Linked DNA regions of Canis lupus familiaris. The protein of the gene in region 1 purifies or fractionates together with the protein of each later gene. This does not show direct contact. Links are inferred from orthologs where the notes say so. Each region holds a gene or a part of one and is shown on either strand. Other genes may lie near its edges.

Evidence for each region.
Region 2: the proteins of CDKN2A (region 1) and UBE2I purify together in Homo sapiens (affinity purification with western blotting; 3 studies listed by BioGRID). This does not show direct contact. The link is inferred for Canis lupus familiaris from reciprocal best matches to the Homo sapiens genes CDKN2A and UBE2I.
Region 3: the proteins of CDKN2A (region 1) and CUL2 purify together in Homo sapiens (affinity purification with western blotting; 3 studies listed by BioGRID, with this or other methods). This does not show direct contact. The link is inferred for Canis lupus familiaris from reciprocal best matches to the Homo sapiens genes CDKN2A and CUL2.

Annotation. Positions count from the first base shown.
Region 1 is NC_049232.1:41,335,602-41,342,005, reverse strand, and holds the end of CDKN2A (cyclin-dependent kinase inhibitor 2A), read left to right. Parts: intron 1-2,210; coding exon 2,211-2,517; intron 2,518-4,732; coding exon of another isoform or gene 4,733-4,736; coding exon 4,737-4,762; 3' UTR 4,763-4,928; downstream 4,929-6,404. UniProt on the Homo sapiens protein: Acts as a negative regulator of the proliferation of normal cells by interacting strongly with CDK4 and CDK6. This inhibits their ability to interact with cyclins D and to phosphorylate the retinoblastoma protein.
Region 2 is NC_049227.1:39,921,777-39,929,181, reverse strand, and holds the start of UBE2I (SUMO-conjugating enzyme UBC9), read left to right. Parts: upstream 1-3,277; 5' UTR 3,278-3,409; intron 3,410-4,010; exon of another isoform or gene 4,011-4,067; intron 4,068-4,174; exon of another isoform or gene 4,175-4,285; intron 4,286-7,405. UniProt on the Homo sapiens protein: Accepts the ubiquitin-like proteins SUMO1, SUMO2, SUMO3, SUMO4 and SUMO1P1/SUMO5 from the UBLE1A-UBLE1B E1 complex and catalyzes their covalent attachment to other proteins with the help of an E3 ligase such as RANBP2, CBX4 and ZNF451.
Region 3 is NC_049223.1:2,047,134-2,054,441, forward strand, and holds the start of CUL2 (cullin-2), read left to right. Parts: upstream 1-3,180; 5' UTR 3,181-3,518; intron 3,519-3,929; exon of another isoform or gene 3,930-4,106; intron 4,107-7,308.

The DNA of each region.
Region 1 (6,404 bases):
GAGAGTTTTGGATTCCTCACGGTTCAGAAATGTGGTTTCTTCCCTCCTGACTCCGGTTGTGGGTGGGGGTGGGGGTGCTGGGTATTTGCTGTTGTTGTTTGCCTTCACTAAATTCCTAAATCCAGGCTAAAAAAAAAAAAAAAAAAAACCCAAAACCAAAAAACCCTATTTCTCCCTGTTCGTCACCACCCTAGTTTTATTCCCAGTGTTGACAATGATTTTGGATTGTGAAAAATAAAATGTATGTGAAACAAAGGCTCACTGCACAAATTCAAGCATAACAAGACAAAGGAAAGTAACTGTACCTGCAATTGCACAGATTTCACAAGTCATCTTCCTTTCCTGAAACAATGCTACATAGGATAAATTTTATATACCTTAACATACATATATAAAAATAAAAACAAAATGCCTTAAAACTTGAGATTATTTGGGATTTTAAGTGTGAAGGGATTTTGAGAGTAGAGAGGTTGTGTGATGGTAGAAGAAAACCATGAGTCCTTTAAAAAGAATGCATGCATGATTTCTCATTTCTCTAAGATTTTGCTCAGAGACTGAGTGTGGCCTTGAAGTTTGGAATATGTTTGAAGAGACTTTGTTTAAATACAAAAAGAAAAAAGTTGGATAATTAGTTTTAACAATTTTTTTAATAGGGAAAATAAGAACATAGAGAAAAGAGTGCATGGTTTTGGTTTAGAACCCTAACCAACCTTGTGTTTAATACAAAACTAATTAGTTTATAGAAAATTATAATTACTTTAAATATCTTATCAAATGGATTTAAGCACTCTACAAATATTCATTTAATCGATTCTTTTTCTTTCAGCTTTGGATTGCTATTTAGATTTAAGTATTTAAGTGTTAGGTTTCTTTCATACTTTAATACTGCAAAATATAATGAAAACCTTTAAAATCAGTTAAGTGTATGTTACCTTACATGGGAAAAGAGGCTTCGCAGATGTTCCTTGGCTTAGAGAAATAATTATTTACGTTTAATGCAGAATGTAATTAAAAATAATTCCTTTTTATACAGTCACTATAAGTCTAGCTAATATAATCAAATAGTGGTTAGCCTAAAAGAAAATTATCTACCACTGCCATCTGCCATGTAACACTCAAATTGTAAGGTTGCTGTGATTGTAGATACTATTTAAAAAATCCTCTTTGGTAATGACTTTGTTTCAAAGACGATTTATCAAACAAATGAAGGGAGCACCTCCTGTTTAATGAACTCTCAGAGTATATAAACTTGGGAAGTTTCTTAGTTTCCTATTTCTGCTGTAACAAATTACCACAACTTTTGTGTCTCAAACCAACATAAATTTATTATCTTATAGTTCTGGAGGTTGAAGTCTAAAATGGATCCACAATGCTGCATTTCTTTTGGAAGTTCTAGGGGAGAATCTGTTTCCAACTTCTAATGGCCATCAACATTCCTGTGCTCATGGTCCCTGCATCTTCTTCTCTCTGACCTCCATTCTTAGATCTTTCTTCTGTAACCTCATAAGGGAATTTGTGATTACATTGGGCCCATCCTGATAATCCATGTTAATCTCTCTCAAAATCCTTAATTTAATCACATCTGGGAAGCCTCTCTTCCCATGTAAGGTATTATATTCACAGCTTTCAAGTGTTAGGTAGTACACATCTTTGGGGACATTCTTCAGCTCATTATGGGAAGGAATTTGGGGGCTGGTTAGAGAACCCTCATTTTATACTTAGAGTGAATTTTAACATTCTGGTAGGCTAAGTGTATATTAAAAGTTTTTTAGGAATTAAAGATTTGTTGTTGTTTTCACTTTCACTTTTTAACAATTATTATGTCCTGGGCTTGGATATACAACAGAAAACCATACAAAATCTCTGGGCCTTATATAATTTTGTATCAAAATGGGTGGGGGGGCTATAGGAGGTTAGGCTATAGTTCAAGCCAGTTCGTCTCTCACTCTTTTGCTATTGTCATGCCTCTGACAGACAATAGGGTGTGGCTGGAATTCCGCAAAAGTTTGGAGAATATAATGGAATTCAATGTGGACAGAAAAATGGAATAAGCAGAACTGTCTAAGGGAGGTGGTAACTGAAAGCAAATAGAATAAATAGACGCCCGTGGCTTGTAGCGGCATCTGCATGGGGTAGGGGCTTCACAAATAGGTTCTTTAAACTTGCCCCTGCCCCCTGTCCCTGTCCTGACCACTCTGCTCTCCCGGCAGGTCATGATGATGGGCAGCACCCGCGTGGCCCAGCTGCTGCTGCTCCACGGCGCCAACCCCAACTGTGCCGACCCCGTCACCCTCACCCGCCCTGTGCACGACGCGGCCCGGGAGGGCTTCCTGGACACGCTGGTGGTGCTGCACCGAGCCGGGGCGCGGCTGGACGTGCGCGATGCCTGGGGCCGCCTGCCCGTGGACCTGGCTGAGGAGCGGGGCCACGGCGCTGTCGCTGCGTACCTGCGCGCAGCCGCGGGGGGCACCGAAAGTGGTAGCCACGCCCGTACGGAAGGTGCGGAAGGTCACGCAGGTGAGGTGCCACATCTGAGTTGGAACTCGGAGAGCTTCCGCAGCCCAGAGCACTCCTTTTTCAGAAGAGAAAGCTGATTCTAGGAGAGCAAGGTCTTGTGTCTCGCTGCAGCTCTCACTGCCAACCTGTAGGACAACCCTATTGTCCCAATCGCGCTGCCTTGCTTGCGCTGCGGATAGGAAATAGCTTAGAGGGATTTCCACACGTTAAAGCCCATCTCATAAATCGTGCCCTTATTTCTCCCAAACACTCACCCTTCCCACAGCTCAGGGCCTAGACTGTGGAATATTGACGACTCAAGAGGCTAGAGGTCTAGTGACCCCCCTCTTCCTCCAGACTAGCTGGCAGCAGCATCCATTCAGCTCTCCTCAGTTTCCGTATTAGCGTATCTAAGTAGCAGGACCATCCCCATAAAAAGCCTTTGCGCGAGGCGTCATCTGGCAGAAATCTGTCCTCCCCCCACCACTGCAAAATTTTACTAAACTCCACCTTCTGCTCTATCCCGAGTTGTTTTCCAGAGCTGCCCAAGGGGGAGAGACCCCTCCAACCCTGGCAGTCTGCACACGGGGATTTGCTACACTCTCTGAGAAGCAGAGACCCTCTCTTAAGCTTTTTCTTCTCTGCGAGAGAGATCGCTGAGACGGGGGAGATGGCCGTGTGATTCTCCTCTCCTTCTCCTTCCACAACCACAAGGCCTTCTTCTCTGGGGACCCCATTCTCCACCTCCACTCCTGCCTTCCTGAAGTATACCCACCTCACTGATCTTTTTCTGAAGGGAGAACCATTAGCTATATAAGAAATTAACACAAATATTTAAGGTAAACCATGGCTGAGAAGATACTGAGATCTAGCCCATGTTGGCTCAGAATCGGGGCATTAGACCCTCTGCACCTTAGTTGGGCGTGAGCGAACAGAGCAAAGAGGCTCGCTCTGGGCCCTAGACCATTGAGGTAGCGAGTTTTGTGCCTTGGACGTGAGAAGCTCGCCAAGATCTCCTTTAGCCTACCCAGCGAGCGCGCGCTCCCTCGCCCCCAACTGAAGTTCGCCTCCAGACACAGCGCGGGGCGAGGGACCAATGGTAGGGCGGGTTGCGCCGAGCAAGAACTGGGAGGAGCTGAAGAGGTGGAAGGGTTAGAGGACAGAACTGGGCCACCCGCAAATAGAGAGGGTAACCCTTTATGAGCAAAACTAAGATTTGACCCAAGCACACAAGTCTACCCACGCCTTTCTTCCTACCTTCCCTTCCTCCTCTTCATCCTACTACGCCATTCGGCTCCATTTAAATGGGACTTAAAGTGAATGAGACAAAACAGGAGTCCTGCCCTCATCGAGCTTACATTCTGGGAAACACACTTTAAGCAATACACAATGTATTTTCACAGAGTTAGTCTGTAAAAACCAATGTGATGGCTAAGAGTCAAGTCTGAATGGGAAGAGAGGCTCAGAGGGGTCGGAGAGCCCGACTGATGAAATTAACCACGGGGGGCGGAGACACTCTCGAGCGCAGGGACCCTAGCGGCTTAGGAGGACCAAAGGCAGGCAGGAGCGCGCACACAGCCAGATCAGAGAGGAAGGCACAGAGGCCAGTTAAAGTTCCAGCCAGTAGTCAAAGAAAGGGTGTTACGGTCGAAACGTGGATTTGGTTTGAGAAACTTTAGGAAGACATTAGTGGGTTGGGGAGAGGGAACCTGGAGAGAAAGACAACAGGACTGGAGCCGAAGGTTCCTACCCTGCCCAGGCGCTCGTGAGCCTCAGGGGCCCCCTGCTTACGGTGTCGCGGAGTCGCTCCGCGCATCAGGTGCAAGAGATGCCTGCGGATACGCGAAGAGCCGGACGGTATTTTCGTGGCCGGCGCCCGGCGGCGCCGCGTGGGTCAAACCCTCAGCACGCGTTATATACTGGGGTTTTCCTGCCGCAAGCCCGTGGGCGGCGTGGCGCGCCCTCCATGCCCCAGCCTGGCGGGCCCGAGCTCGGCGAGCCCGAGCAGCCCGCCGCGCGGTGGACGCGGTGCGCTGTTCGCGACGCTGGGGAGTAGGGCCGCGGGCAGGGTCCAGCCTTGAGGGACAGACCCTGTGCTGACGGGTGGTGGATATTGAGAGGCCAGCGAAGCCTCACGCATATGTGTTTGAATACCAGGTGGGAGACTAACGAGAGGAAGGCGGGATGGATCACGCAGCCTTGACTTCGAGGTTCTAATGTGTTTTTCTTTGTGCAGACAGCCCGGACTTCAAGAATTGAGCTCTAAAGACAGATCAAGTGGTTTTGATCTTCAATCAACAAAAATGAATTACCCCACCCAACCCAACTCTTCCCTGCATGCTTGCCTTTATCAAATACCACTTTTTAACACTGTAGACAGTGTTTAAAAAAATCAGCCTTCCCTTTCCCTTAAATTTCCATTTGTATTTCCATTTATATATTGGTATATAAAAGGTTAAAAAAAAAAACCAGTTTCTGCCTTTTTATTGTTGGGTTAGAATTCTCTGAAGCAAGTCCGTAGGCCCTGAAAACACATCTATGTGGGCACTTCCCCCTTCCTCTTTCCAGCCTCAACACCCGGCAAGGCGCTGTTGTTATTATAGACATTTAGTGAACTAAGGATACGGAACTTAAATGGGTTACATAGCCTTTCCTGTGTCCAACTGCCATCAAGTGGTAGTGCCAAGGTTCACCTTAAAAAAAAAAAAAGTGTGGTTACTCATTTGTTCAGACAATATTTATTGAGCACCTATTAGGGCACCTTGTCATGAGAAAGGAGGGGAAAGGCATCAACTAATGAACATACAAACACATGACTAAAAATTTAAACATCAATTTCATTGACTGGAAGATAGTATTTTTTTCTAAAAGATAAATGGATGCTGCAGTAAGAGTACATAGCATGGATATTAATACATCTGGATTTCAGATGATAAACTGTCAAGAGCTGGATCTTCTAAGATGGATGAAATGGGGAAGAGAAACTCCAGGGAGACTTCAAATTACCAGACTCACACTTGGCCTTCCATTACTTGTCTGGCTATAGGAGATGAGCCTCTCAAGATTTGGGGTATTTTGCCCTAAGCTCCACAGAAATATATGACAGAGTGGTCCACAACCACAAAGCCAGCCTCTGCAGCCTGCTAGGGGTGGGGGTGGGGGTGGGGGTGTCTGACCGGAGCTGCCCCCACCATGCCCCACCCAGCTCTCTAGAACTCCCCCACAGTGGCTACAGAGGGCTGTGAAGTAGCTACTCACCACCACTCAAATCAAAAGCAACTCCAGCTTCTCTGCCACAGCAGGAGGAGGAACATGCATGGCTCTAACTTCCGTGGAGACCCAGAGGCCATGCTGCCTCCTCTGCAGCAGGGAACCATACCTTCATGACTTGTTTTTTGAGGTGCAATTCACAGAAAATTAACAATTTTAAATTGTACAGTTCAGTGGCATTTAGTAAACTTACAATGTTGTGCATCACCATTTATCTAGTTCCAAAACATTTTGATCACCTCCAAATGAGACCCTATACCTACTAACCATACTCATTAAATCCTCCCTGTCCCCATGCCCTGGCCACCACTAATCTTTTGTCTCTATGGATTTACCTAGTCTGTACATTTCATATAATTGGAAGCATACAATATGTCGCCTTTTGCGTCTGGCTTCTTTCATTTGGCATATTTGCAGTTCATCTATGTTGTAGCATATACCACTACTTAATTCCTTTTAATGGCTGAATAGTATTCCATTATTTACTCTATATCATAATGAATATTTGGGTTGTTCCTGCATTTTAGCTATTGTGATGAGTGCTATATTCCGTTATGAGTATTTGTTTGATGGCTTGTTTTCAATTCTTTGGGGTATATACCTAGGAGTGAAATTGCTGGATCATATAATAGTTCTAT
Region 2 (7,405 bases), on another chromosome or scaffold:
TGGCAGAGGGGGAAGCAGGCTCCATGCAGGGAGCCTGACGTGGGACTCAATCCTGGGACCCCAGGGTCACATCCTGAGCCGAAGGGAGACGCTCAACCCAAGCCCCCAGGCGCCCACAGCTTTGGCTCTCCTGTGTAGTTAGGACTTTTGAGTTTTGTGCGTGGTGTGAGGTAAGGGGTCCAGCTCCCTTCTTTTACCTGCGGAAGTGCTTTTCAAGCCAGCCCCGAGCCCTGCCCGCAGACCTCCTCCCCACAACGTGGCCTTGGGCAGACACCCGGGGGGGGGGGGGGGGGGGGGGGGAGGCTCCAGGCAGCTCGGGGGCGTACCCCCCACCCCCCCACCCCGCCTCATGGGGCAGGGGCGTAGGGCAGCCAGCATCCTTCCTCCTCAGGGTCTTAGACCCACTGACTGCACAGAGGCCTCACCTTCTCCAAGATTCAGCTTCTCCTTTGTACCCAGGGAACTGGACCCAACCCGCCTGTCTCTCCCACAGGGACTGCTGCACTATGAGCGCACAGCAAGGTCCCCAGCACCCTGGAAACGTCACGCGAGGTCCAGTCCAACTGCCTCCAACCTCACCCCATGGCGCCCTCCCGCTCTGGCTCTGCCGCGGCTACACGGGCCTTTACCGGTCCCCGTCCTCCTTCAGGCCTGTTTGGACGTCACCCCATCGGAGACTTCGCGGACGGCACCATCTAACCCAGATGTGTTCCCAGCTGCACAACTGCTCCCCGCACGCCCCGTGGCTTTAAACAGGGCACTTTGCGGTCGTCTCCCTTTCTTGCGTCAGGAGCGGGGCTGAGTGTCACAGGCCGGGGCTGCCTTCTCCTGCCCTCAGCTGAGGCTCGGGCCTTCCTGCAAGCTCAGTCCCCCGCTGTGGAAGGCCTGAGGTCCCCACTTTCTTGCTGGCCGTCATGGGGGCGGTGGCCCTCGCGGGCTCTAGAGGCCGCCCATTGTTCCCTGCCCGCGGCCCAGTCTACACGGTCAGCGCGCCTCCCATCAGGGCTGGACAAACGTGATGATCCTGACAGCCTGTGCGCCAGCCCGTGAGCGCAGGAACGGCCCAGGACGCAAGCCTGGAGGTCGCCTCCTGCGCATCCCCTGCCCTCCTCCACCTAAATGCCAGATGCTCCTCCTCCAATTTTTTTTTTTAAAGATTTACTTACTCATGACAGACACACAGAGAGAAGGGCAGAGACACAGGCAGAGGGAGAAGCAGGCTCCCTGCAGGGAGTCCAACGTGTGTTTCGATCCTGGGTCCCCAGGATCACACCCCGGGCCGAAGGTGGTGCCAGACCGCTGGGCCATCGGGGCTGCCCTGCTCCTCCGATCCTGACTCTCTTCCCAGCATGAGGACAGCTTTCCCCTAGGAGGGCAGTTCTTCCTGCTGTGGTTGGACCTTGGCCATCAGAGCCAAGGGGCCGCACTTCCCATCTCCGGGTATCCCCTCCTCACGCATAGACAGGACCTGCTCTTAGTTTCCTTCTCTGCAACCTTCCATGGCTCCCCAGGGCCCACAGGGTCAGGCCCAGGCCACCCTTGGTGGTCGGCCTCCCCGAACGACACCCCTGCTCCCTCTCTGCCCTGTCTGTGCAGAGCCCACGAAGGCCCATGGGTCTCCTCTCTTGCCTCCAGCAGCGGCCACCGCTCTTTGTCAGGTGTCTTCCCCACACAGCCTGGTGCAAACCTGGCATCTGCACAAGGATGGGCCCGAAGCCCATGCTCCTTGGCAGGAAGCCACTAGAAAGTGGGCCGTGCAGCAGGCTCTCCTGGGGTTCTCGTTAAAACACACACTCCCGCCCGCAGGACCCCTGGGCTCTGGTGAATCAGAAGCCCCAGGAAACAGGTGTCTCAGATAAGCCCCAGATGGTCCTGACACTCTCAGGTGCAGAACTGCAGCTGCCTGGGGGAGGGGCAGGGCGGCAGCGGCCCATGGGGGTGGCCCTGGGGATTCAGGAGCCGACAGCCCGGCGGAGTTCAGGCCTGGCGGGGACGTGACCGCTTATACTTGGCTCATTGGTCACCGGGGCGGCGGTCACTCTAGCCAAGCCCCAGAGGCCACTGCTGGCCGGGGTGGGGGTGGGTGGGGTGGTGACCTAGGCCCCGCATCAGGGGGACGCCCTCATTTTACTCCCCAAGTAACAGGAGGGCTGGGAGCGGCGCGGCTTGCATGCCCTGAGCAGCCGCTGGACACGGGGCCTGTGGTCCCTGCCCCTGGGGAAGCCTGAGCACGGTGCCAACTACGGGGCCCCGGGGGAGAGAGGGAGGGAGGGAAGGGAGAGGAGGGGAGGGGGAGGGGGGAGAAACGGAGGAGGGAGGGAAGGGGGAGGGGAGGGAGGGGGAGGGGGCGTGCAGGCCCGCCGCTCCGGCATTCCAGTGCCCCCACCCGCGACCTGCAGCCCGGGGCCGCGATGCCCTCCAGCGGCCCCTGCGCGGGGATGGGGGTGCCCGAGACACCCACCGCTGCTTGACCCCTAGGCGCCCACCGGGGCAGCGGACTGACCTCGGAAGGCGCCCCCCCACACACACCTGGGGTTCGGGCGACGAGGCGGGCCCGACGGGGAGACGCCCGGCGGACCGGGAGGGGCCGCGGTTCGCTCCGCCCGCCGTCCGCTCTCCTCCCCTCCCTTATGCGCCCGCGGCCCCGGCGGCCCGCCCCCGGGTTAGGGAGCGTCAGCACTTGTGGTCCCGTCGGTCCGGCGGGCGCTCGGCCTCCTGTGCCGGGTCGACTCATTGGGCGGCTTCGCCGGGCGCCCCGCCCCGGGCCCGCAGCTGGCCAATCGCAAGGGGTTTCACAGGCCGCCGTGCTCCGGGGACCGTCACCGCGCTGCGACGCTTCGGGGATCCTTAGGCCTCAGTGGGCTTTTCTCCCCCGGCCCCTGATCCCAGCCCCAAGGAGACCTCCGGGGCCCGTGCGCGGGCAGCTGCCCGCGCGGCATCCGGGGGGCCCTCGGCGGTCTCGGCCTCCGCCGGCCCCCGCTGCCCGCCGGCGTGTCCTCGGGTGGACGCGCGCGTCGCGAGGGGGAGTTTGCAGACGCTCCCTCCGGTCGGGGACGCGGCTCCTTTAAGGGCGCAGGTGTCCGCGGCGCCGCCCGACGGGAAAGCCTCCGCCGACCCAGGCTCCGGAGCCGCACCCGGGGCGGGGGCGCGCGGCGGCAGGGCGCGGGCGGCGGGCGGCGCGCGGCGGGCGGGGCGGCGCGGGGCGCGGGAAGGCGGCGGCGGCGCGCGGGGCAGGCGCGCGGCGGGCAGCCCCCGTAGGCCCCGCCCCGCCCCGCCCGCCGGGGGTCCTCGGAGCGCTCGGGCTGCGCGCGGAGCGGGCTCGGGAGGGAAGTCCCGAGACAAAGGGAGCGCCGCCGCCGCCGCCGCCGCCGCCTCGTCCGCCTCGCTCGCCGGGCCGCGGCCGCCCGAGGTGAGCGCGGGGGCGCGGGCGGGCGGCGGGGGGCGCGGGCGGGGGCCGGCCTCGGGGCGCGGGGCCTCCGCCGCCGTCGGGCCCGGCCGGGCGCCTCCCCCAGCCCCGGCCCGCCCCGCGCCCCCCCCGCCCGGAGCCGGGCCGCCTCAGTCCGCGGCGTGCGCCCCCCCCCGCCCCGGGGTCGCGGCCCGCCGGCCCCTCGAGCCCCGCGCGCGCCCGGCCGGGAGCGCGGAGAACGGCCCCCCGGCGCGTGCCCGGCGCGGCCCCGGAGCTGCGGCCGCGGTTGACAGGGATGCGAGCCCGCCCGCCGCCGCTGCCGCCCGCGGGATCCGTTTCCGGGGTCACGGCCCGCCCGCCGGCCGCGGAGCTCGTGCGCGGGGCCCCGACGCGCCAGGCGCCCCCCGCCCCGAGCCCCGCGGGGTCTCCCGGGGCCGAGCGCAGGGGGCCGGGCCTGCACCTGCTGGGGCCGGGGCGCCTGCGGACCCCGGGGCCCGCGGAGGAGTCGGCAGCCCCGGCCCCGCGGACCCCAGCTTGCTCCTGCTTTGCTTACGGGGTGCGGGGCGCCGGGCGGTCGGAGCCTGGGGAGCCCCGAGGTCAGGGACCCGGCCTCCGAGTCGGCGCCCGGGGTCCCGGGAGCTGTCGGGGGGCGGGCGGCCAGGTAGGTGCCTCTGCCGGGTGCAGCAGGTCCCCCCCTCGGGGAGCGCCGCCCAGGACGGCCCGGGCGGGGCTCCCACTCGCAGCGTGTCTGCGTCCCGCACAGGCCCGAGGGGTCGCAGTGCTGCGCCCATTTCACAGATGAGACCGAAACCGTCCGGACGGGAGATGAGTGCCTAGCCCAAACCCCGGCAGCCAGGGCAGCCAGGAAGCGGCTCTGAGGTCTGTACCCTCAGGTCGCGGAGCACAGCGCCAGGGGAGTTCACCGAGAGTCCACGCCGCTGCGGGAACCCTGGCGGGAGGTGGCTGTGCCTGGAGGGCCCGCTCCCGTCCTCGGGCTGTCTCCCCGGCCTGGGGATGGGTCGTCCCATCTCCCGGCGTCTGGCTCGCACCTAACCACCCCCCTGAGTGCCTCTCTGTGAGCTTGTCCCGGGGAGATGTGGTCTTAAGTGGGATTCTGAATGAGAGGTTGCCTGCTGTGGTTGAAATGTAGCAAACTGGAGGCTGGTGGGAGTGGGAGCATGTCTGAGCCCAGGTGTGTGCTGGGGACAGGGCAGCTGTGCACCTGTGGCTCTTTGTCCCGCCGGCAGAAACCCACCCCGGTCTGGCCCAGCAGCACCCCCGCGGCAGGAGCTCTCCTGCGACCACCCCTCCTGACTTCCCCCAACCTGGGACACCCTCACACAGGCCCTGGGGCAGGGCCTCCATGGGCGGTCCTGTCCAGTCTTCAGGGCAGAAGAGGTGGCAGGGTTGTGCCACGGGTACGCTTGCAGACGGCGCTCAGGACGGCCTGGCCTGGCCTGGCAGGGCCTGCCCCCAGCCCCCACAGAGCGCCCCGTGTTGGGGAGCTCCGGCCTGGGGCTTCAGAAACCTGTTTAGATGCCTGGCAGAGCTTAGGCTCACCGGGGACCTTGCATCTCAACTACAGAACTGCTTACCAGGCTGCTTGTCTTTGGTCGCTGAGGCTCCGTGTTGGTTAATTCAGCAGAAGGTTCCTGCCAACTTGCACTGTCTGCTTCCCCGGGGGGGTGAAGGGGGTGCTCCGGTGATCATGCTGTGTGCGCCAGGGAGCTCGGGGGCAGGAGTGTTTTGTGCCCTCGAACCTCCTGCAGGGAAGGGCATTTCCACTGACCCAAGGCTTGGGGTTGGCTCAGATTCCACGGAGAAGGACCAGTGGAAATGAAGGTTTTGAGAAACTTGTAGAAGTAAAGCATCTTCCGGCATCGGGGTCCCTGCCCGCTTCTAACCAGAGAACACTTGGGAGGCAGACTGGCCTACGCTCCTGCAAGCCCTAATCCTCCTCCTCAGGATCAGCGCTCGCCCTTGTTGCACTGCTGGGCCCCCGCCTCTGGCCCAAACAAATATTCCAGACGAGTGTGCTGTCCTGTGAAGGAGATCTGGGCAGGGGTGCACCTTGCTGGTCCCAAACTCCCCCTGGCAGGTGTTCCTGGCGGCCAGGTCCGTACACGGATGGGGACGAAGGGGGCAGACTAGGATTCTGGGATCATGTGGTGAATTGCAGTTCTGTTCTGGGTCAGCATGCTGTTGTCTATATCGAACGTAGTCTTGAGGTCAGTTAAGATCAGAACCTCGTACAAGGTGTGCTCTGGCGTCACGGTGCCAAAAGCTGCAGGCGGCAGCCCCGGGCGGGGGGGTGTCGTCATCATGTCATGCTTTCTGAATGGAGGGCTGTGATTTTTGACTTTTTGTTTTTCTTATAAGCTAAGTACATGGTTTTTAAAACGGGACCCCATCTAGTTGGTCTGGCGGTTTGTCATAACTCAGCCAGCTTCCTGAGACCTGGTCTCTTGCATGACACCAGGGACTACAGTCGTGTTCTGCAGTGGTGATTCCCAGACCCTTCCTCCTACTTGGCTTACTTCTTGGGAAGAGAATTGACCGAGAGCCTCCCAGACCCCAGGCACTAGGTCTCGCCCAGAGTTCTGACGTAAGGCCACAGGGGTCTGGGACGTGCATTTTTGACAGGCACACAGGGCCACACCTGGAGAGCCAGAGATAGCAAGGTCCAGGGCCTGTGTCCGCTGAGCTGTTGGTCTCACCCCTGCTGCATGACGGTGTGGGCTCTGGGCAGGGGACTGTGCTGCTCAGGGACCGGGAGGGGGGTGGCTGGGGTGGGGGGTAGGTGTTGGGGCAGAGAGCATGATATGGATTGGACTGCTGAGGGGCAGTTGAGGGTGTGTGAGCTGGGTTTGAGTTGAGGCTCCACACTTAGCCAGGGCCCTACCTTCTGGTCGTTCCCAGGTCTGTCGAGCCTGGTGGGGAAGCAGGGGTGTAGGTGAACCTGAGCCCAGGAACATGGCTGGGAGGTGGTTCTCCTGAACCCAACTGAAAACCCTGGTAGTTGTGGAGAACCCCGCATTGTACTCAGGAGCGTGGGTTGTTGGACCTTTAACCCCATAAGAGCAGAGCAGAGACTTGTTGCCAGGTGTCCATGAAGCCTGCCTGAAGGGTTGGGGCAGGCTGCTGTCATCCCCTTCTAGGAGACACCCTCTTTGTCTTGTTAAAGCCTTGTTTATGGTAAATGTTGGATTCTAGGAGTCCTCGATGTTTCCATGGACTTTGAAGAGCAGCAAACAGACTCAGGGCAAGATTCTCCCAGGGCAGGAGGGAGCCAAGGGCAGCTGGGGGCGCCCCAGCCTGTTCTTTGCTGGGTGAGCGGCAGCCCAGAGAGTCTGTTCCACCTGCAGGCTGCGCACAGGTGTGCTCAGCGGGCGCCAGGCCACTGGTGGGAACAGCCAGAGGCACCAGGCCTTGGGGGCTCGGAGCTGCCGTCTCCCACAGCCAGCACGCTCCCAGGACAGGTGGACGCTGGGCAGGCTGTGGGCTGGCCACTCACCTCCTGCTGACTCCCTGAGTAAATGGGAGATAGGCCTTGATCCATTTGTTGTTTGTGGGGCGGCTGTGGATCTGGGGGCAGGGGGTGGCTGTGGGATGGGTAAGTGGAGACGGCAGTGGGTAGCGCCTGGGGCCCTGGTGAGAGGTGGGTCTCTTGGGTGCTGGGGGCTGGGTGCTGTCCAGGGACTTGCGCATGATGCGGTGTGAACTGATGTCCGCCCTGGGGCACCTTTGTACTCCATTGCTTTCAAGAATAAGTGTGGTTTGGGCAGCCCCAGTGGCCCAGCAGTTTGGCGCCACCTTCAGCCCAGGGTGTGATCCTGGAGACCCGGGGTCGAGTCCTGCGTCGGGCTCCCTGCGTGGAGCCTGCTTCTCCCGCTGCCTGTGTCTCTGTCTCTCTCTCTCTGTGTCATGAATAAATAAATAAAAATCTTAAAAAAAAAAAAAAAAAAGAATAAGGGTGGTTCTCCTGACCAGACAAGAACC
Region 3 (7,308 bases), on another chromosome or scaffold:
AGCGGGACCCTGGGCTGTGCTGACCATGTGCCCCCTCCCCCCGCCAGGCAGCAGGCCCGGGTCTAGGGGCAGCGGGACCCAGGCTGTGCTGACCATGTGCCCCCCCCCCGCACCCCCCAGGCAGCAGGCCCGGGTCTAGGGGCAGCGGGACCCAGGGCTGTGCTGACTATGTGCCCCCCCCCGCACCCCCCAGGCAGCAGGCCCGGGTCTAGGGGCAGCGGGACCCAGGGCTGTGCTGACCATGTGCCCCCCCCCGCACCCCCCAGGCAGCAGGCCCGGGTCTAGGGGCAGCGGGACCCAGGGCTGTGCTGACCATGTGCCCCCCCCCGCACCCCCCAGGCAGCAGGCCCGGGTCTAGGGGCAGCGGGACCCAGGCTGTGCTGACCATGTGCCCCCCCCGCCCCGCACCCCCCAGGCAGCAGGCCCGGGTCTAGGGGCAGCGGGACCCAGGGCTGTGCTGACCATGTGCCCCCCCCCCGCACCCCCCAGGCAGCAGGCCCGGGTCTAGGGGCAGCGGGACCCAGGGCTGTGCTGACCATGTGCCCCCCCCCCCCGCACCCCCCAGGCAGCAGGCCCGGGTCTAGGGGCAGCGGGACCCAGGGCTGTGCTGACCATGTGCCCCCCCCGCCCGCACCCCCCAGGCAGCAGGCCCGGGTCTAGGGGCAGCGGGACCCAGGCTGTGCTGACCATGTGCCCCCCCCGCCCGCACCCCCCAGGCAGCAGGCCCGGGTCTAGGGGCAGCGGGACCCTGGGCTGTGCTGACCATGTGCCCCCTCCCCCCGCCAGGCAGCAGGCCCGGGTCTAGGGGCAGCGGGACCCAGGCTGTGCTGACCATGTGCCCCCCCCCCGCACCCCCCAGGCAGCAGGCCCGGGTCTAGGGGCAGCGGGACCCAGGCTGTGCTGACCATGTGCCCCCCCCCCCCCCAAGCAGCAGGCTCGGGTCTAGGGGCAGCGGGACCCAGGCTGTGCTGACCATGTGCCCCCCCCGCACCCCCCAGGCAGCAGGCCCGGGTCTAGGGGCAGCGGGACCCAGGCTGTGCTGACCATGTGCCCCCCCCGCACCCCCCAGGCAGCAGGCCCGGGTCTAGGGGCAGCGGGACCCAGGCTGTGCTGACCATGTGCCCCCCCCGCACCCCCCAGGCAGCAGGCCCGGGTCTAGGGGCAGCGGGACCCAGGCTGTGCTGACCATGTGCCCCCCCCCCCCCAAGCAGCAGGCTCGGGTCTAGGGGCAGCAGGACCCTGGGCTGTGCTGACCATGTGCCCCCCCCGCACCCCCCAGGCAGCAGGCCCGGGTCTAGGGGCAGCGGGACCCAGGCTGTGCTGACCATGTGCCCCCCCCGCACCCCCCAGGCAGCAGGCCCGGGTCTAGGGGCAGCGGGACCCAGGCTGTGCTGACCATGTGCCCCCCCCCCCAGGCAGCAGGCCCGGGTCTAGGGGCAGCGGGACCCAGGCTGTGCTGACCATGTGCCCCCCCCCCCCGCAGGCAGCAGGCCCGGGTCTAGGGGCAGCGGGACCCAGGAGCGCGGCCCCCCGGCCGTCCCGGACCTGCTCCCTCCCCGCAGCTCTGACAAGCCCGCACCCACAGTGTCCGGAGACTAAAGGTGCCCGCATGCGGGCCCCAAGCAGGGTTTTGGGGAAGGAACGGGGGACTGGACGGAGGCTGTCCCACGGGACCCGAGCGCGCAGAACCGACACAGGCACTGCGGGCCGCCGGCGGTAGAGACCGACGTCCTCGGTGCCCGGGTCCGCTCTCCTCCGGGTCGGGTGGCTTTCCCCAAACACTGTCCGCCTCGGGCCCGGTAGGAGTGCGGGGGGACGGGCGAGCGCCGCCCGGAGGGACAGCGGGGGCCTCAGAAAGCGGTGCGCGCGGATGGGGAGGCGGGGGGGGCCCCGGGCGGGAGACCGGGCGGGGACGCGGAGGGCGACGGGGCGGGGGACGCGGCGGGGGACGGGGGGCGGGGGACGGGGGGCGGGGGACGGGGCGGGGGACTCAGCGGCCGGGCCGCCGTCCGGAGGCCGCGGTGTCGGGCTGCCCCTGCCCTCCCCGCCGCCGCCCTCTCCGCGCCCCCGGCTGCCGCTCGCCCCGCCCCGGCCCCCGCCTGGCTCCCGGCCCCCGCCTGGCTCCCGGCCCCCGCCTCGCTCCCGGCCCCCGCCTCCTGCGCCGTCGGCGGCTCCGCGGTGCCGGGTCCCGCCCGGCGCGCCACTTACCCGCCGCGATGGGATTTACGTAGCGGCCGTCGTCACTGCTTACGGGCGGGAGGAGGTGGGGACGGCGAGCCCGGCAGCCCGGCGCCCCCGGGGCCCCGCGTCGCCCCCACGTCAGCTCTGATGCGGCAGCCACAGCCTCCCCGCCGACCCGGGGCCAAAAGTAGCGCAGCAGCCGACCGAACCGCGTCCTCGCGTCCCGCCCTCCCCTCCCCCCTCCCCCTCTCCCTCTCGGCGACGGCCTCCCCGGGGACGCCCGGCGGAAGAAAATCCAGGCTCGAACCCTGCCCCCTGCCGGCCTCCAGCGGGAGTGCAGCGCCGACAATCCAACAATTAGATGGAACGGGGGGAGGGGAGGAGGGAAAGGAGGGGCCAGGGGGCGGGGCCTGAGTGGTCGGGAGGCGGGGCCTCGGGGTGGCGAGGGGGACCGGGCAGGGGGCGGGGCCTCGGGGTGGCGAGGGGGACCGGGCAGGGGGCGGGGCCTCGGGGTGGCGAGGGGGACCGGGCAGGGGGCGGGGCCTCGGGGTGGCGAGGGGGACCCGGGCAGGGGGCGGGGCCTCGGGGTGGCGAGGGGGACCGGGCAGGGGGCGGGGCCTCGGGGTGGCGAGGGGGACCGGGCAGGGGGGCGGGGCCTCGGGGTGGCGAGGGGGACCGGGCAGGGGGCGGGGCCTCGGGGTGGCGAGGGGGACCGGGCAGGGGGCGGGGCCTCGGGGTGGCGAGGGGGACCCGGGCAGGGGGCGGGGCCTCGGGGTGGCGAGGGGGACCGGGCAGGGGGCGGGGCCTCGGGGTGGCGAGGGGGACCGGGCAGGGGGCGGGGCCTCGGGGTGGCGAGGGGGTCCGGGACCGGGACCGGGACCGGGGCCGGGAGGAGGGGCGGGCTGCGGCGGGAGGAGGACGGGGTCCTGGAAGCCGGAAGCCGCCAGCCGCCAGCCGCCAGCCGCCAGCCGCCCCGCCTCGCGCCGGAAGTCCCGCTGGCGGCAAAGTTAACGGCAGTGGTTGGCGCGTCCGCGTCGGAGTCGCTGGTTCTCGAGGCTGCCGGCTGCGCGCCCCCTGCCCCCACCGAAGCTGACGTGCCCGAGCGGACCCGGGGAGCGTCCGCCGTCCCGGGGCGCTGTGGACGTGACTTCGGGGAGCTGGCTGTCCTGGTCCCAGCCTGCTCCGCCTCCCCGGTGACTGCGTCGGGGTGTGCAGAATCAGCGGTGGGCCCGCTGGGAGATGCGACGCCGGGAAGGAAGGCTCTGGGTGGCAGGCCAAACCCCGTGCCTCTGAAGTCGGAGTTTGCTTCCCATCCAGTGGAAGGCGAGGGCCCTCCGGTAAGGGGAGCGTTCCGACCCTCTCTCGGGAACCCTTTCTGCATACTCAGAACTTCCTCAACTGCAAGGCTGAGCAAGCCCTCCCAAAGGGAGCCTCCGTAGCCTAAAGACAAGCCGCTTTACATTCAGAAAACACGAATTCAGACAGTGATTACCGCCCGACTTTATAGTACTCAGGGGTGTGAGATGCAGGAAACCAATGTCAAGGACACCACTGATAAGTTGCTGAGAAAAAATAAAAACATGCCAACGTAGTGCAGGTAGAGACGGGAAGCTTTGTGAAATATTAGAATCTGCAGAGTGGGAGAGAATCCTCAACTCTGCAGTCCCAGATTTTGGCCAGCCTGAACCGCTTCCAGCTGTAATGCATAGGGCGCAGATAGAACCCAAATCTGTAAGTTCACTTCCCCCTTTTGACGTAAGAATTCTGAAGCCCCTCCTTGCGTTATCATAGACAATGCCCATCTCGACCACTTGTGAGTACCGATTTCTTAATAAGGAACATTAGCAAGTTAACAAAATTGAATTTAAAAAACAACCAAGTCCTTTTTTGTGTGTGTAGTTAAGGCTGGCACAGAATATTTTTAGGTAAGTAATACAGCTCATTTTAGCCCAGGGGAAAAGGGGTCACTAGAAGGGAAGGGAATAAAAAGGGGTTATCAAACACTCAAATCTTACTATTCATTATGGTCAAGGTTGACCAGTGCAGGATGAATAGATTTTTAGCCACAAGTGATTGAAATTGTGATCATTCACCTTCCCCAAAACATTGCTTTCCCCCTGGTTGTTTGCTGCTAAATTTAACAAAGTATACATTCTTCATATACATAGAGTCTATTAGATATAGGACTTAAGATGTAAGTGGTAAATCAACATACACTAAAATGTAAATGTCAACCCTTTCTTGAGAGTACCTGGGGTCTGAAGAGAAAGGGCATGACAGAGCAGCAGGATCTCATAGTCCCATCGGCCACAAGTCCAATACACATCTCACTGGGCCAAAATCAAGGGATTGTTGGCTCCAGCGAAAAGTCCATTTCCTTGCATTTTTCGTCTTCTAGAGGCCATCCACATTCCTTGATTGATTCCTTTTCCTCCATCTTCAAAGCCAGCAACAGCTGGTGGAGTCTTTTGCTGCCATCGTTATGATTTTGTCTCTCACCTCCCTCTTTTACTTACCAAAACCTTGTTTTAATATTGGGCCTACCCTAATAATCCAGGATAATCTTCCCATATCAAAATTAGCTGATGAGCAAACTTGATTCTATCTGTAACAATTTCCTTTTGCCACATAACCTGTTCACAAGTTATGGGATTAGGATGGAGACATCTCTGGGGAGTGAGCTATTCTGCCTATCCATAGTGAAGGATTCTAAAATAAGCTTGAGCTCTTAGAAAAATCACCTGCCTCTAGGAAGTATCCCTTGCAAATATTTCAAATGTTTGACTAGAAATGCCAATAACTGATTTATCACTTTCTCATTACCTATGATATAGAAAATCTTTAAATTTTTAATTTTTAAATCAGGGGTAAAGGAGCAGATTAGGAAGGTACAAGTTTTTAAATGGGAAGAATAATATACCTACTTCTTAGCATTGTTGTAAGGATTAAATAAAGTAACTACCATAAAGTATGTGCTCAATAAAAAAAACTAGCCAAAATGGGTGATGGGTATTAAGGAGGACACTTGTGATGAGCACTGTTATACATAAGTGATAAATCACTAAATTTTACACCTGAAACCAATTTTACCATATATGTTAACTAACTACAATTTTAAATAACTTGAAATGGAGCAGGGTGGTGGGGAGGAATATTTTTATATTGGTCCAGTGTCCAGGTTTTTGGGCTCCTCACTTAGGCAATATTGCTCTGTAGAAGAGGGACAGCTAGAACATCTACTTTCCTGAGAAAATACAGGCTGTGGGTCACACCCATATATTCTCCCTTCACCTCAAAATATCTTAAATCATCCCTTCCATTATGGGTCAGGAGGAACACCTCCCTCCTTTGCTTTCTAAATCCAGGTATAAAATAGGTGTCATTTCTTTCCCATACCAGATCTAAGTCAATTATCTGCTGTCTTGTACCTTTATTCTCTTTCTCTAGGCTCCATCTCCTATCCCTGCAAATGTATCCTATCTGCCTCTACTTGAAAAGTGTTGACTGCTTCTCCTACCAGAAAAGCTACAGAGTTGCCAGCTCTAGGGTGCCCATTCACATTACATTTTTCCCCATATGCCTGTTCCATCTCTTGCCATCATCTCACTATCAGACTACTCAGGAATAGAGAAGACACTTACTATATTCACTTACTCACCACCTACTACTCATTTCTAACTTCCTGGCTGTCTGATATTTGCCCTCTTTCCCCCCCCCCCCCCCCAAGACCTCTTTCTGATTACAGAATCTGAAACTTTTTTTTTTTCACTCTTCATGCTGCTTGACCTCTTTTCCTACCTTAGTGTCTCCTCTCTGAGTTTCCATGACATTTGACTCTCCTGGTTTCACTCATCTTTGCTTCCCTAATGTGGATAGTTCTGAGTTTTCTGCCCTTGATCGTCTTCTACATTGTCCTCCTTAGTTACCATTCTCACTTCTGTTGAAAAGAAAGAAACTTGCCTCCATTATAGGTCATCCTAAGTATTTCTATTTGGTTCGTTTTCCCAATACATGGCTCTTGTGATGTGATTTCTCTTATTAAAAGTCCTGAATGAAAAAAAAAATCTTGAATGATTGAGGGAGTGGGACTTATGGGGTCAAAGGTGGAAAGGAGATTGAATTCCCTTTGGTGGCCTCTTGAAGAATCTACTACACGTACATACTACATATTCTAAAAACATAAAATTTTAGTTAACGCAAAAACTTAGATCTAATTGGCTAAGTCCAAATATCCTAGTTTTGCATAAAACCTTTCATGATGTGGGCCCAACTTAAGTTTACAGCCCTATTCCATGTTAGTCTCTTGTGTTTTGTATCACACTGGTTCTCAAAGCATCCTGCACATCAGAGTCACATGAAGAGCTTGAAAAGATGTACCCAGGCCATCGGCCCTACCTGTTGACTTACTGAGTCAGAATCCTCAAAGAAAGGGCCTATAAATCTACCTCTTTTAAGATCTCCAGTGAGTTGCAAGATTATTACTTGGCAGCACTTCAGCCAAAACTTACTACTTACTATTATATATAATTACCTTACATTTTCCGATCTTTTTTGCCTTAATTGCCCGTTTTCTCACCAGTTCTCTGTATCTGCCAATTAAAATCTTCTCCATCCTATCAGATCCAGCTTACATACTATCTTCTTTACTCCCACTTAGCCCAAAGTAAGCACTGAATAGATATTAGCTGTAATTAATATTTTGAATGACTTGGGCAAGTTCCTTCATTGACTTGTGCAGAATCAAAGCTCTAGAAAGAGTCTTAAAAACCTAAATTGAAAAAAAAAAAAAAAAAATTGAAAAAAAAAAAAAAAAAACCTAAATTGACCCACTTTGTTTTATAAATTAGAAAGTGGAGGGATGCCTGGGTGGCCCAGTTGGTTAAGCATCTGACTCTTGATTTTGGCTCAGGTCATGATCTCAGGGTGGTGAGATCGAGCCCCACATCAGGCTCCATTTGCATTGAGGAGTCAGCTTGAGGATTCTCTCTCCCTCTCCCTCTATCCCTCTCTCCCCTGCACTTGGTGGACACCCATCTCTGTGCATTTTCTCTGCGTCTCTCTCAAAAAGATAAATGAGATTTTTTTTTTTTTAGTGGAGACTAAGTAGTTAGAAAACTTGCTTTGGCT